Linked DNA regions of Sus scrofa. The protein of the gene in region 1 interacts with the protein of each later gene in a biochemical or structural test. Links are inferred from orthologs where the notes say so. Each region holds a gene or a part of one and is shown in the gene's direction. Other genes may lie near its edges.

What was found.
Region 2: the proteins of SNTA1 (region 1) and MCM7 interact in a test that uses a peptide from one of them, tested with the Homo sapiens proteins (2 studies listed by BioGRID and IntAct). The link is inferred for Sus scrofa from reciprocal best matches to the Homo sapiens genes SNTA1 and MCM7.

The regions. Positions count from the first base shown.
Region 1 is NC_010459.5:36,943,433-36,947,561, reverse strand, and holds the start of SNTA1 (alpha-1-syntrophin), read left to right. Parts: upstream 1-1,329; 5' UTR 1,330-1,459; coding exon 1,460-1,769; intron 1,770-4,129. UniProt on the Homo sapiens protein: Adapter protein that binds to and probably organizes the subcellular localization of a variety of membrane proteins. May link various receptors to the actin cytoskeleton and the extracellular matrix via the dystrophin glycoprotein complex.
Region 2 is NC_010445.4:8,009,923-8,016,021, reverse strand, and holds the start of MCM7 (DNA replication licensing factor MCM7), read left to right. Parts: upstream 1-2,026; 5' UTR 2,027-2,125; coding exon of another isoform or gene 2,126-2,183; 5' UTR 2,184-2,600; coding exon 2,601-2,631; intron 2,632-3,142; exon of another isoform or gene 3,143-3,514; intron 3,515-3,796; coding exon 3,797-3,876; intron 3,877-4,176; coding exon 4,177-4,341; intron 4,342-4,628; coding exon 4,629-4,753; intron 4,754-4,827; coding exon 4,828-5,008; intron 5,009-5,302; coding exon 5,303-5,440; intron 5,441-5,732; coding exon 5,733-5,882; intron 5,883-6,082; coding exon 6,083-6,099. Other genes in the region: AP4M1 (AP-4 complex subunit mu-1), read right to left, coding at 11-117, 244-297, 402-468, 568-630, 838-918, 1,007-1,346, 1,426-1,532, 1,938-2,026 and 1 more. UniProt on the Homo sapiens protein: Acts as a component of the MCM2-7 complex (MCM complex) which is the replicative helicase essential for 'once per cell cycle' DNA replication initiation and elongation in eukaryotic cells.

The DNA.
Region 1 (4,129 bases):
CTGTAGCTACTCCATGAGGTTACTGTAAAGTCAAGAAGATACATGCAGATGCTTAGATCTGGGCCTGGCCAATAGTAAGCATTCAATGTAGGCATTCAATAAATAAAGGTGATTATATTGATTGCATAAGATTCACAGTTTACTTTTCCCCATTGATTTAATCCTGACACAGTCCCCTGTGAGGCAGGGGTTATTATGACCCCCATCTCACAGATGAGGAAATTGAGGCCTAGAGAACTGAAAGTACCTGGACCAGGGTCGATATGGGGCTAACACAGTGTCTGAGCAGTATTGTAAGCCAGGTCTCCAGAGACCCAGACCCAGAGAGCCCCACCTTCCAGCCCTCTTTCCTCACAGGGGTTCTTCTCCCTCCAGGTCTCTCAGTGTGGGACTTAAGGCTTCTCCGTATTTGACTGTGAACAGAACAACGGCTTAATCTTTAGTTTTATTTTGTCTTTTTTTTTTTTTTTTTTTTGGTCTTTTTAGGGCCGCACCCGCGGCATATGGAGGTTCCCAGGCTAGGGGTCAAATCGGAGCTGTAGCTGCCGGCCTACACCGCAGCCACAGCAACGCCAGATCCAAGCCATGTCTGCGACCTACACCACAGCTCACCCACTGAGCGAGGCCAGGGATGGAACCCACAACCTCATGGTTCCTAGTCGGATTCGGAAACCACTGAGCCACGACGTGAACTCCAAGAACAAGGGCTTAATCTCAAACACCTTTCCAATTTCCAAGTGAGGGCAGTACCCACTCTTTCCCCAAACCCTAAACAGCCTGCAACGTGCTCATCCCAGTGGGAGGGGCCTGTTAGCGTTAGTCACCACGCCCCACACTAAGCCACGCCCACAGATATTAGCTCTGGCCCCACCCTGGGAAACAGGCTCCCTCAAACCTTCTTTAGCTGCCAGCCTGCGAAGTCCCTCGCGGCTTGGTGTCTACTACTTAAACTCAAGCCCTGTCTCTGGAGTCCGGCTCTCCGCCATATGCAGTCCCACCTCAACAACCAAAGTCTCGCAGCAGTGTCCATGGTTCTTTTTCCTGTGCTGTCACGTAGGTGAGCGACGGTCCTGGCCCCGGACTGCCACGCCCAGCGAAGTCTCTTCCACAGGATGAAGCCACGCCCCTAATTGCCCCACCGCCCCCGTTTCAGAAGCTTCTCGCTGTAACTCGTGGTCCCGCCCAGACGCCCTTATGACCCCACCCCCATGAAGTCCCACACTACATCCTTCGGCTCCTGGACCCCGCCCTCCCTGTCTCTCCTGAAGCTTGTCTGTGGCCACGCCCCCGCCGTTAGCCACACCCACACATAGCCCCGCCCCTAGGCTCCACCCCCAGGTGGAGGGTGGCGGCAGGCCCAGTGGGGCCCCCGCTGCCCTCTGCCCTGGGCGCTGGGTCAGAGCCTGCCGGGCACTGCGGGACAGGGCGAACGCGGCGGCCTGGGGGCTCGGAGGCGAAGATGGCGTCAGGCAGGCGCGCCCCGCGCACAGGGCTGCTGGAACTGCGCGCCGGAGCGGGCTCGGGGGCCGGCGGAGAGCGGTGGCAGCGGGTGCTGCTCAGTCTAGCTGAGGACACGCTGACCGTGAGCCCCGCCGACGGCGAACCCGGCCCGGAACCCGTCGCCCAGCGGGAGCCGGTGCCCGCGCAGCTCAACGGTGCCACCGAACCAGGCGCCGCGTCCCCGCAGCTGCCTGAGGCGCAACTGCCCCAGACGCGCTTCGTGACGGTGCACAAGGCCGATGCCGGCGGGCTGGGTATCAGCATCAAAGGTGGGCGCCGGGGCACCGAGGGCGCTGGTTGTGGTGTCTGTGGGACAGATGAGGGCGCCGGGGTCGCAGGGGCTGGCGGCGTACCGAGGACGTGGAGTTGGAGGACTTCGGTCTTGGGGGTAAGGGCGTCCGAGAGGACAGAGGGAACCCAGGAAACAAGGAGCATCAAGGTCGGAGAGGGTTTTGAGAATCGGAAGTCTTAGTTAGAAGGCAGATATGTGGAGGGCGTTGAGGGGCCCACCGAGGACACGTGGGTGGGGAGTTCCGTGCGGAGGCGAAGAGATCTAAGACTGGTTGCCTCTCAGGGGTTGCACGGCCATCAGGGATAAGAGGAGCCCCAGGAGAGCAAAGGATGGAGAAAGGGGTTTGAGGCCTGGGGGGCTGCTAGGCCATGGATGGGGGAGTCTTCAAGATACAACCAAAGTGGGAGGGAGGGCTAGTAAGGCCTGGAGTAGGAAGCATGGCCGGTGAGGAGGATTGCAAACTACATGGAGGCACCAGCTGGACTGAGCTCCCAGATAGAGAGAAAAAAAGGACCTAGAAACCTGAGGCTGTGTACCTAGGTGAAGAGTCCTAAAAGCTGGGTTTGAGTTTCCTGATCTGACCATTTGCACCTTGCACATGATTGAGACTGGCTCTCAGCCCCTAGTACTGCAGCTGCAGCTGGGATTGGATCCCTAGCCTAGCCTGGGAACTTACATATGCCTCAGGTGTGGCCCTAAAAAGAAAAAAAAAAGAGTCCAAAGTACCCACCCTGCCAACACATAGTAGGTGCCTGGTTAATTATTGCTGTTAGATGAGAGGAAAAATGGAGGCCAGGAAAGACATCCCAAGTAACTAACCATAGTGCTAAAAAACCCTGCACACTCCAGCTGCTGGGTTCACCATTCCAAACCACTTACTTCTAAGGCTCCTAGCTCCCAGCCAAAGCAGTGTTATCTGACTTGGGAAAGGGTGTTAGCCTTGGGAAAGAGTTAGCCCTGGGTGTGCACATTTCTCTTACCCTGATATTGGCTCTGTTCCTGGTGCTTCCAGACCCTTTGGCCTAGGTGAGGGGTGACTTGGCTACCACTGTGTGTCAAGTGCTGTGCCCAGTACTCTAGGCTCACAATCTACTCTAACCTGGCTACAAGTACTAAAAGATAGGAAGCATAATCCTCATTTAGCCGGTGAAGAAACTGAGACTCAGAAAAGTCAAATGGTTTTCCCAGGATCACATAGCTGGTAAGTGGCAGAGCTGGGATTTGAACCTCAATTTTCAGGCCACTAGAGAGTGTCCAGAGAAGTCACTTCTTCCCCATAGAAGGACAAACTTCCGTGCAGCCAACCAAAGGCATCTAAAAGGGTGAAAAGGGAGAGCCAGGGAGGGAGCGCCAGTTTTGCCCTCAAAACTTTAGCAAAGGATAGGGCAACAGGTCAATCCAGAAATTGTACACTCAAAAGGAGGAAGGAACTTAAGAGTTCATATAGAGATCCATTTTGCAAATGGACAAACTGAATCTTGGAGAGGAGGGGAACTTTCTAAGGTCACATAAAATACTCCCCAGCTTCATTGTTCCAGGTGAGGGTAAAGGTATTTTTAGGAGGTGTCAGGGGAATACCAGCCCCATTCAATTCTTCATGTATGGAGACTGAGCTCCTGTTGCCATGTTGACCTTTCCTCTAGGGACCAGCCCAGCCCAAGGCATCCAGGAATGATTATGGATCCAAACTGAACTGAAGTTTGAGGTGACCCTTTGAAAGGGTAGTTTCAGGTGAAGAGGGCAGATATAAATAGAAATCTCTTCCTTTTCTAGGCCTCAGGCTCTTTGCAGTGCAAAGAGCAAACTGTTGGGTCTTTGTGGGGCGTCAGGAGAGGCATTCCAATGCTACTTCTGCCACCAATTTGTTGTGTGACCTTGGAATTATGACCTCCCTTCTCTGGGCCACTAATTCCTTATCTTTGAGGATAAACCAGTAGTGTGGTATCTGAGGGCCTGACCGTGGAGTTGAGTGTTGGTTCTGGAGCCAGGAGACCCAGATTTAGATATTTGTTTTGCCACTAACCAGCTGGGTAACCTTGTCCAAGGGGCTTCTCTCCACACTTCAGTTGTCCTGATAGGGATCTGAGCATGCCTGTGTGGTTGGGGTGTCGTGAAGATGCAGTGAGACAAGATTGAAAGCGTTTAGCGTGGTGCTTGGCACTTGGTATGTGGAACTGATGTGAACTGTCTTTACTGTTTCTTATTTTAAAAGGGCATTCAGGAGTTTAGCAATGAAGCACTGTGGTAAATGTATTAGCTTCCCTCCCCCCCCATCAGACTGTAATTCAAATAGACTTTTGAAATCTCAAGACTTTAAGACCTTGGTTTCTAGCATGG
Region 2 (6,099 bases), on another chromosome or scaffold:
CGATCCTGACCTCACCCTGAGGGGGCTGCAGGCGGAGGATTCGATGAGATTCAAACTCATCCAGATGCACTGAGCTGTGAAATGAGACCTCATCCACCCGAATTCCTGGCCCATAACCTGGAAAAAGAGAAAGACTCCTCTCCTAACCCATATTTTGAGGGAAAAGGGCAGGGAGGGGATCTGACTCTTAACTTGCCTCCATGAAACCTGTGGCAGTGACCACTGCCTTGGAAAGACCCTCACCTCTCAGTTCTGACTTCCCCACACAAAACTCTTCCGTCAAGCCAATGCGCATCTCTGTCAGAGAAAAGAACATCAGAAAAAGCCGCCAAAGAACACCACGCACATCACCAAGGAGCCAATCCCAAACGCCACCCTGGTCTAGCCTGCAGGCTGCTCACCGGAGCCGCTGGGCAGAAAGCTCTTGAGTCGGATCTCTCCCTGCACGTCCACCTTCAGCAGCGAGCCCTGAAAGCGCCAGGAAGGTTCATGTGCAGAAGGGACCTCCCCGACATGTCTCCCAAACGTCACCTGTCCTCAGCAGCAAGGCTGGGGGCCCACACTTACGTTAGAGGCTATCAGTACGGACAGTCTCTCGACCACGTCCAAGAACACTTCGTTCTTTTGGCTCTGAGGAAGAGAGGGGGATTTGGTGGGTGGCGATTGACTGGCTATTATTCTAACACAGACAGGCAAAAAAGGACAGGTCACTAGAGGCTGGAGCTCTGGGATGGGGACACAGGAAAGGGAAGGGACGAGATCACCTATGTCTAGAGGAGATGGAAAGACAAGCTGGGCTCCGGGACTCTGATCTGCACCCGTCAACCCCACCCTTACCTGGTCAGAGCGGCTGGACAGGACAGGGCGGCTGGCTGCACTGCTGGGGGCCACTTTGCTCTGTTGTGTCTCGGCCCCAAACTGGAAAGCACCCAAAGCAATCAATCCTCAGGTCCGACACTCCCCACCAACCCTCATCCATGCTGGCCTCCTCTGTCCCTTGACTGACCAAGCCAACACTGCTGAGGTCAAAGAGGCTGAAGGGCTTGCTGACCACGGCCTCCGTCTGGATGAAGTTCCTCAGCATCTCCATGGATGTGGTCTGTACGTAGCCATAGTCCTGCGGGCAGAGGAAGGACATTTTTTGGGTGGTCAGTGGGGCGAAGGGGTGAAAATGAGTGGACTTGGTCTCCCAACCACGGGATGTATCTTCAGAGAATAGGGGACAGGGAAGGACGTTCTCAGACCTCACCAGCACTTCATCCAGGAGTTCGTAGACCAGAGCCACGTTGCGGGAGATGGTCCCCTCGCCCAGGGAGCCACAGTAATCTCCCAGGAGAGTGGCTAGCCTGCAGAAACACAATGGAGTGTGCATATCGGCCTCCTCTCCCACCCCCACGCCCATGTGCCCAGCCCTGTCCTCCTCACCGGGAGAGCAGCTCTAGGAGGCTGAAGGGAGAAATGTTCTCTGAAGTCGTGGCCACCAAATAGAGGCCGTTGTGTCTGATGTGAATAAAATGACGGTCATCGTGGTGCTGAGGTAGAGGCAGGGGGAAAAGCATTAGGAAACGAGAGTTGTAATGATTCCTGGCCTGTGAGACAGGCTAGTATCCGGATTCCCCTACTTACTAGCAACGTGATTTGGGGCCACATATGAAACCTCCCTAGAGCCCAGCTTCCTATTGTGTAAATGGTATTAATAACAGTACCAACTAACTGAGTAGCTGAGGACAGAGATGTGTAAGGAACTGTGCCTGGAACACGGTTGCTGCTCAATAAACTGCCATTAACATTTGGACTACTGCACTTCCCAAGTAGAAGCTCTCAGGGAAAGAGCCCTGGGAAGATCCCCGCACTGCCCTCCCCACCCCAGCCCCCGCCGCCTCGGAGCGCTGAGCGCATCCCTTCCACCACCACCCCCCACCCCCGCCAGTGGTTACCATGACAACAGGAGACTCGTCTCCGGGCAGTCCCGTCAGCTTCCGGTAGAAGAGCTCTGCCACATCCCGGCCGCCGCTGTCTCCGCGGACTGACGGGATAGAAGAACAGCTAAGGAGCCAGCGACACTGGCTAGCTCGGAGGCACCAGTCCCACCCAGCCCCAACCCCGCCCCGCAAGCCAAGGATACAGTCCTTGTAGATGAGCGGGTCCCCCTTGGAGGACAGAATGAAGAACTGGGAAATCATGGCCGTTCTGGAGGGTAGACCAGGAGGCAGCGAAAAGTTGGGCCTGCCCCGCCCTGCGGCCCCGGAACAAAAGGACGGGAATGGGCTGGCCCTTTAAGAGGGCTTCTCCTCCGACCGCGGGAAACCTGGCGCCTGCCCCGCCTCGCTCAGCCTTTCCCTCTCAGTACCCGCGCCATTTCCCCGTCAGTCACCCCAGGTTCTCCCGGTGATTGGTTGACGCTGGGGCCTGTGGCGAGTGGGCGGGGCGGAGGACCTCCTCTCTGATTGGCCCGCACACAGCGGCGCTGGTCACATGGGGGGCGACGTTTCGCGCCAATTTCGGTTGGTCGGCTGCGGACCACGGCGCAGACGGTTTTTGCTGCCCAGGCAGTGAGAGGTCTGAGCCCGCCAACTGCTGCCGCGCAGCCCTGGGCAGCAATGGCACTTAAGGACTACGCTCTCGAGAAAGGTGAGGGTCTGCAAGCGTGGGAGGGGCGTCCTGCGCGGAAAGGTTCCTGACCAACACCTGTTGGTGGTGGGTTGGGTTCCTGAGGGGCCTGGCCCGGAGCGCAAGGTCAACGGTAGGGTCGGGAAGCGTCGGGGCTGAGGCCTACGGTAACTGGGAGGCGTACGAGGCGCCAGGGTCGGGGAAGAGCTGGTAACCGGGTCCGGGAAAGGAGTGGGTATCGTGGGGTGGGGGGCGGACACCCCGGCTGGAGGCTCCAGAAGGAACGGTCGCGCCTTAGACCAAGGCTTCCAGGGGCCGTAAGGTTCAGGGTCTGGCACCCGCGGGCCCGCTTCCTTCCACGGTCTTAGGCACTCAAGAGTAGCCGCGTCCTCCCGCGACGCGCCGAAGCCCCGGGGGCGGGCAGGCCTGAGCCGCTGCGCGCCGGGATTGGTCGCGTCAGGCTAACCTCCAAGCGGAAGTGAAGGCGAGCGGAAGTTGCGCGACACCGCTGGAGGGTGTCGTGTGTAAACAGTGTCCTTCCGCGCGGTGGCCGCGGAGAGAACTACTGAGGATGGGGGCGTGCCTGGGATGGGGGAGTTTAGAGGAAGACCGAGGGAAGAAGTGGTGGGGTGGGACGGAGTGGCCCTCGAGGAGCTGGCCAATCGCTGGACGGTCTCCCGCCCTGAGCGGAGGAATCCCGGGCTGTGAGGCGGCGGCATCATCTGGGCCCATGTGCTTCTTTGTTTACTAAGAGCGGAAGCAGTGGCGGGAGAGGGGGTGGGGCGGAGGACGGGCCTGGTGGCGGAGGTCCCGGTGAGAGCGGCGATTTAGGAGACAGAAAGAAAAGGGGAAGCGTTCGCGCGGAAGAAAAGCTGAGAGTCTTGAGATCTGGGTGTGTTGCCAGGTGTGGGAGGCCCTTGGAAAAGGGTTCCGAGATTTCTAACTAAGGCTGAGAGTGGAATTCCCTTGGGGGGTGGGTGTTGGGTAATATTCGCAACTGCCAGGGGTCCCTCTGCTCCCCCAGATAAAAACGGACTTGGAAAAGGAGTTTGTAGGTTTGTTTAAATAAATCTTCATTTATCTAATTAGTTCAGAGATCTCATTTTAAGTGAAAGTGAATCAGAGGAGTTTGGAGTAAGGTATCTGAAGAAAGATTGATCGTCACGATTTTACACTTTCCTTGTAGAAAAAGTGAAGAAGTTTCTACAGGAGTTTTACCAAGATGACGAACTTGGCAAGAAGCAGTTCAAGTATGGGAACCAGTTGGTAAGTCTAAGGTTAGGTAGAAGAAATGGGATGGTGGCTTAAGGAGCTACTAAGAAGTGGCCTGACTTGTTTTAGCAAGGCTGTTTTTCTCTTTAAGTGACAAGTTTAGCATCATACCTGTTAACAGTACTATATTCACAATAATTAAGGTATTTTTAGGAGTTAACTGAGAGGTGAGTATTTTTTCTGTCTCACAGTGCTCTTTCTGTCCTTTGGAGGCTTGGTAACTTGTGTGTTGAGCCACAGTGATGGGTTCTTGCCTGTGAACTTGGCTCTGTTGCCGTCTCCCCCCACCCCCAGGTTCGATTGGCTCATCGGGAGCAAGTGGCAATGTACATAGACCTAGACGACGTCACTGAGGATGATCCTGAGTTGGTGGACTCCATTTGTGAGAACACCAAGCGCTATGCCAGGCTCTTCGCTGATGCTGTGCAAGAGCTGCTGCCTCAGTACAAGGAGAGGGAGGTGAGGAAAATGCAGGGCAAGAAACTTAGGTTTCTGTTGAGAAGCTACTCGGGTATTTTCTTCTATTGCTGTTGTTAGGCCCTGACACAGCATGTGGAAGTTCCCATGCCAGGCATCCAACCTGAGCCACAGCAGCAGCAACGCTGAATCCTTAACCCATTGTGCCACAAGAGAACTCAGGTATTTTCTGAGCTGGCAAAAAGGGTGGTGATTGCTGCCTGGAGCCTTTTATGCTGTCTCCTTTCCCTATCTTACCACTTAGTTTTCTTATTTTCCTATCCTTTCAGGTGGTAAATAAAGATGTCCTGGATGTTTACATTGAGCACCGGCTGATGATGGAGCAGCGCAGCCGGGACCCAGGGGCAGCCCGGAGTCCCCAAAACCAGTACCCTCCTGAACTGATGCGCAGATTGTGAGTGGGCTCAGGGGGAAGTATGTGGGGGTTTGATCCCCAGCACCTTGCTCATCACTTTCTTCCCCCTTTAGCGAGCTGTATTTTCAAGGCCCGAGCAGTAGCAAACCTCGTGTGATCCGTGAAGTACGGGCTGACTCTGTGGGGAAATTGGTAACTGTGCGTGGAATTGTCACTCGCGTTTCTGAAGTCAAACCCAGAATGGTGGTGGCCACTTACACTTGTGACCAGTGTGGGGCAGAGACCTACCAGCCGGTATGTATAGAGCAAAGAATGGGAATGTGTTTACTTTTGTCAGCGGTTTTTGTATGAATTAATTTGTTTTGTGATGATTATATGTTGTCATTACTGGTCTGTTAATTGTAAAACACACCTGTGTGTTTTCATTCTTTTTCCAGCATGGGATGGCCTTTCCATCCATTCTGTGTTCTTGGTGTACTCAGCAATCCCATGTTTTCTATCACAGAGAAGAAACGTCATTTAGGTGACTAACTCTAAGGAGCCCTTTTTTTTCTCATTTCCTCTGGTGCTTTGTTTTTTGTATCCTAGATCCAGTCTCCCACTTTCATGCCTCTGATCATGTGCCCAAGCCAGGAGTGCCAGACCAACCGCTCAGGAGGGCGACTGTATCTTCAGACACGTGGCTCCAAATTCATCAAATTCCAGGAGATGAAGATGCAAGAACATGTGAGTTTGGGGGATGTGGTCTGGGGCTCAGGGAAGGGGGAGCTTGGGAGTCCGTTTGATTCTTGTAGTCGTTCAGAAGCATAAGAAAGAAAGTAGAACAAAAGGGGAGAGTCGAGGCAGAGAAGTCAGTGAGAGCAGGACGGGGTTTAACTGGAACTTTCTGAGTTGGGAAGAGTTTTAAAAAAAAGCCTAGTTTTCCTCTTGTCAGCTTGCTTGAGGCTAAGCAGACCAAGAAGTGGCCATAGTGTGTATAAGGAGAGAAAGGCAGGCCTCATGGACCCTTCTTCCCCAGAGTGACCAAGTGCCCGTGGGAAACATCCCTCGCAGCATCACAGTGCTGGTGGAAGGAGAGAACACGAGGATCGCCCAGCCTGGGGATCATGTCAGTGTCACCGGTATCTTCTTGCCGATCCTGCGCACCGGGTTCCGACAGGTGGTCCAGGTGAGAAAGTTGAAAATGAGGTGGTGGTTCCTTTTTTCTCATCTCCTCACTCTTTAACAGCCCCACAGAGAAGAGTGACAGCAAGCAACAGAATACCAAACAAAGCAGAACAGAGGGTTCTGTCAGGAACTCCTCAGGGACTCACATGGAAGGGCAAGTTAAAGGCGCTTCATTCATACCCTGGTGTTTTCCTGCTCAAGGGTTTACTCTCAGAAAC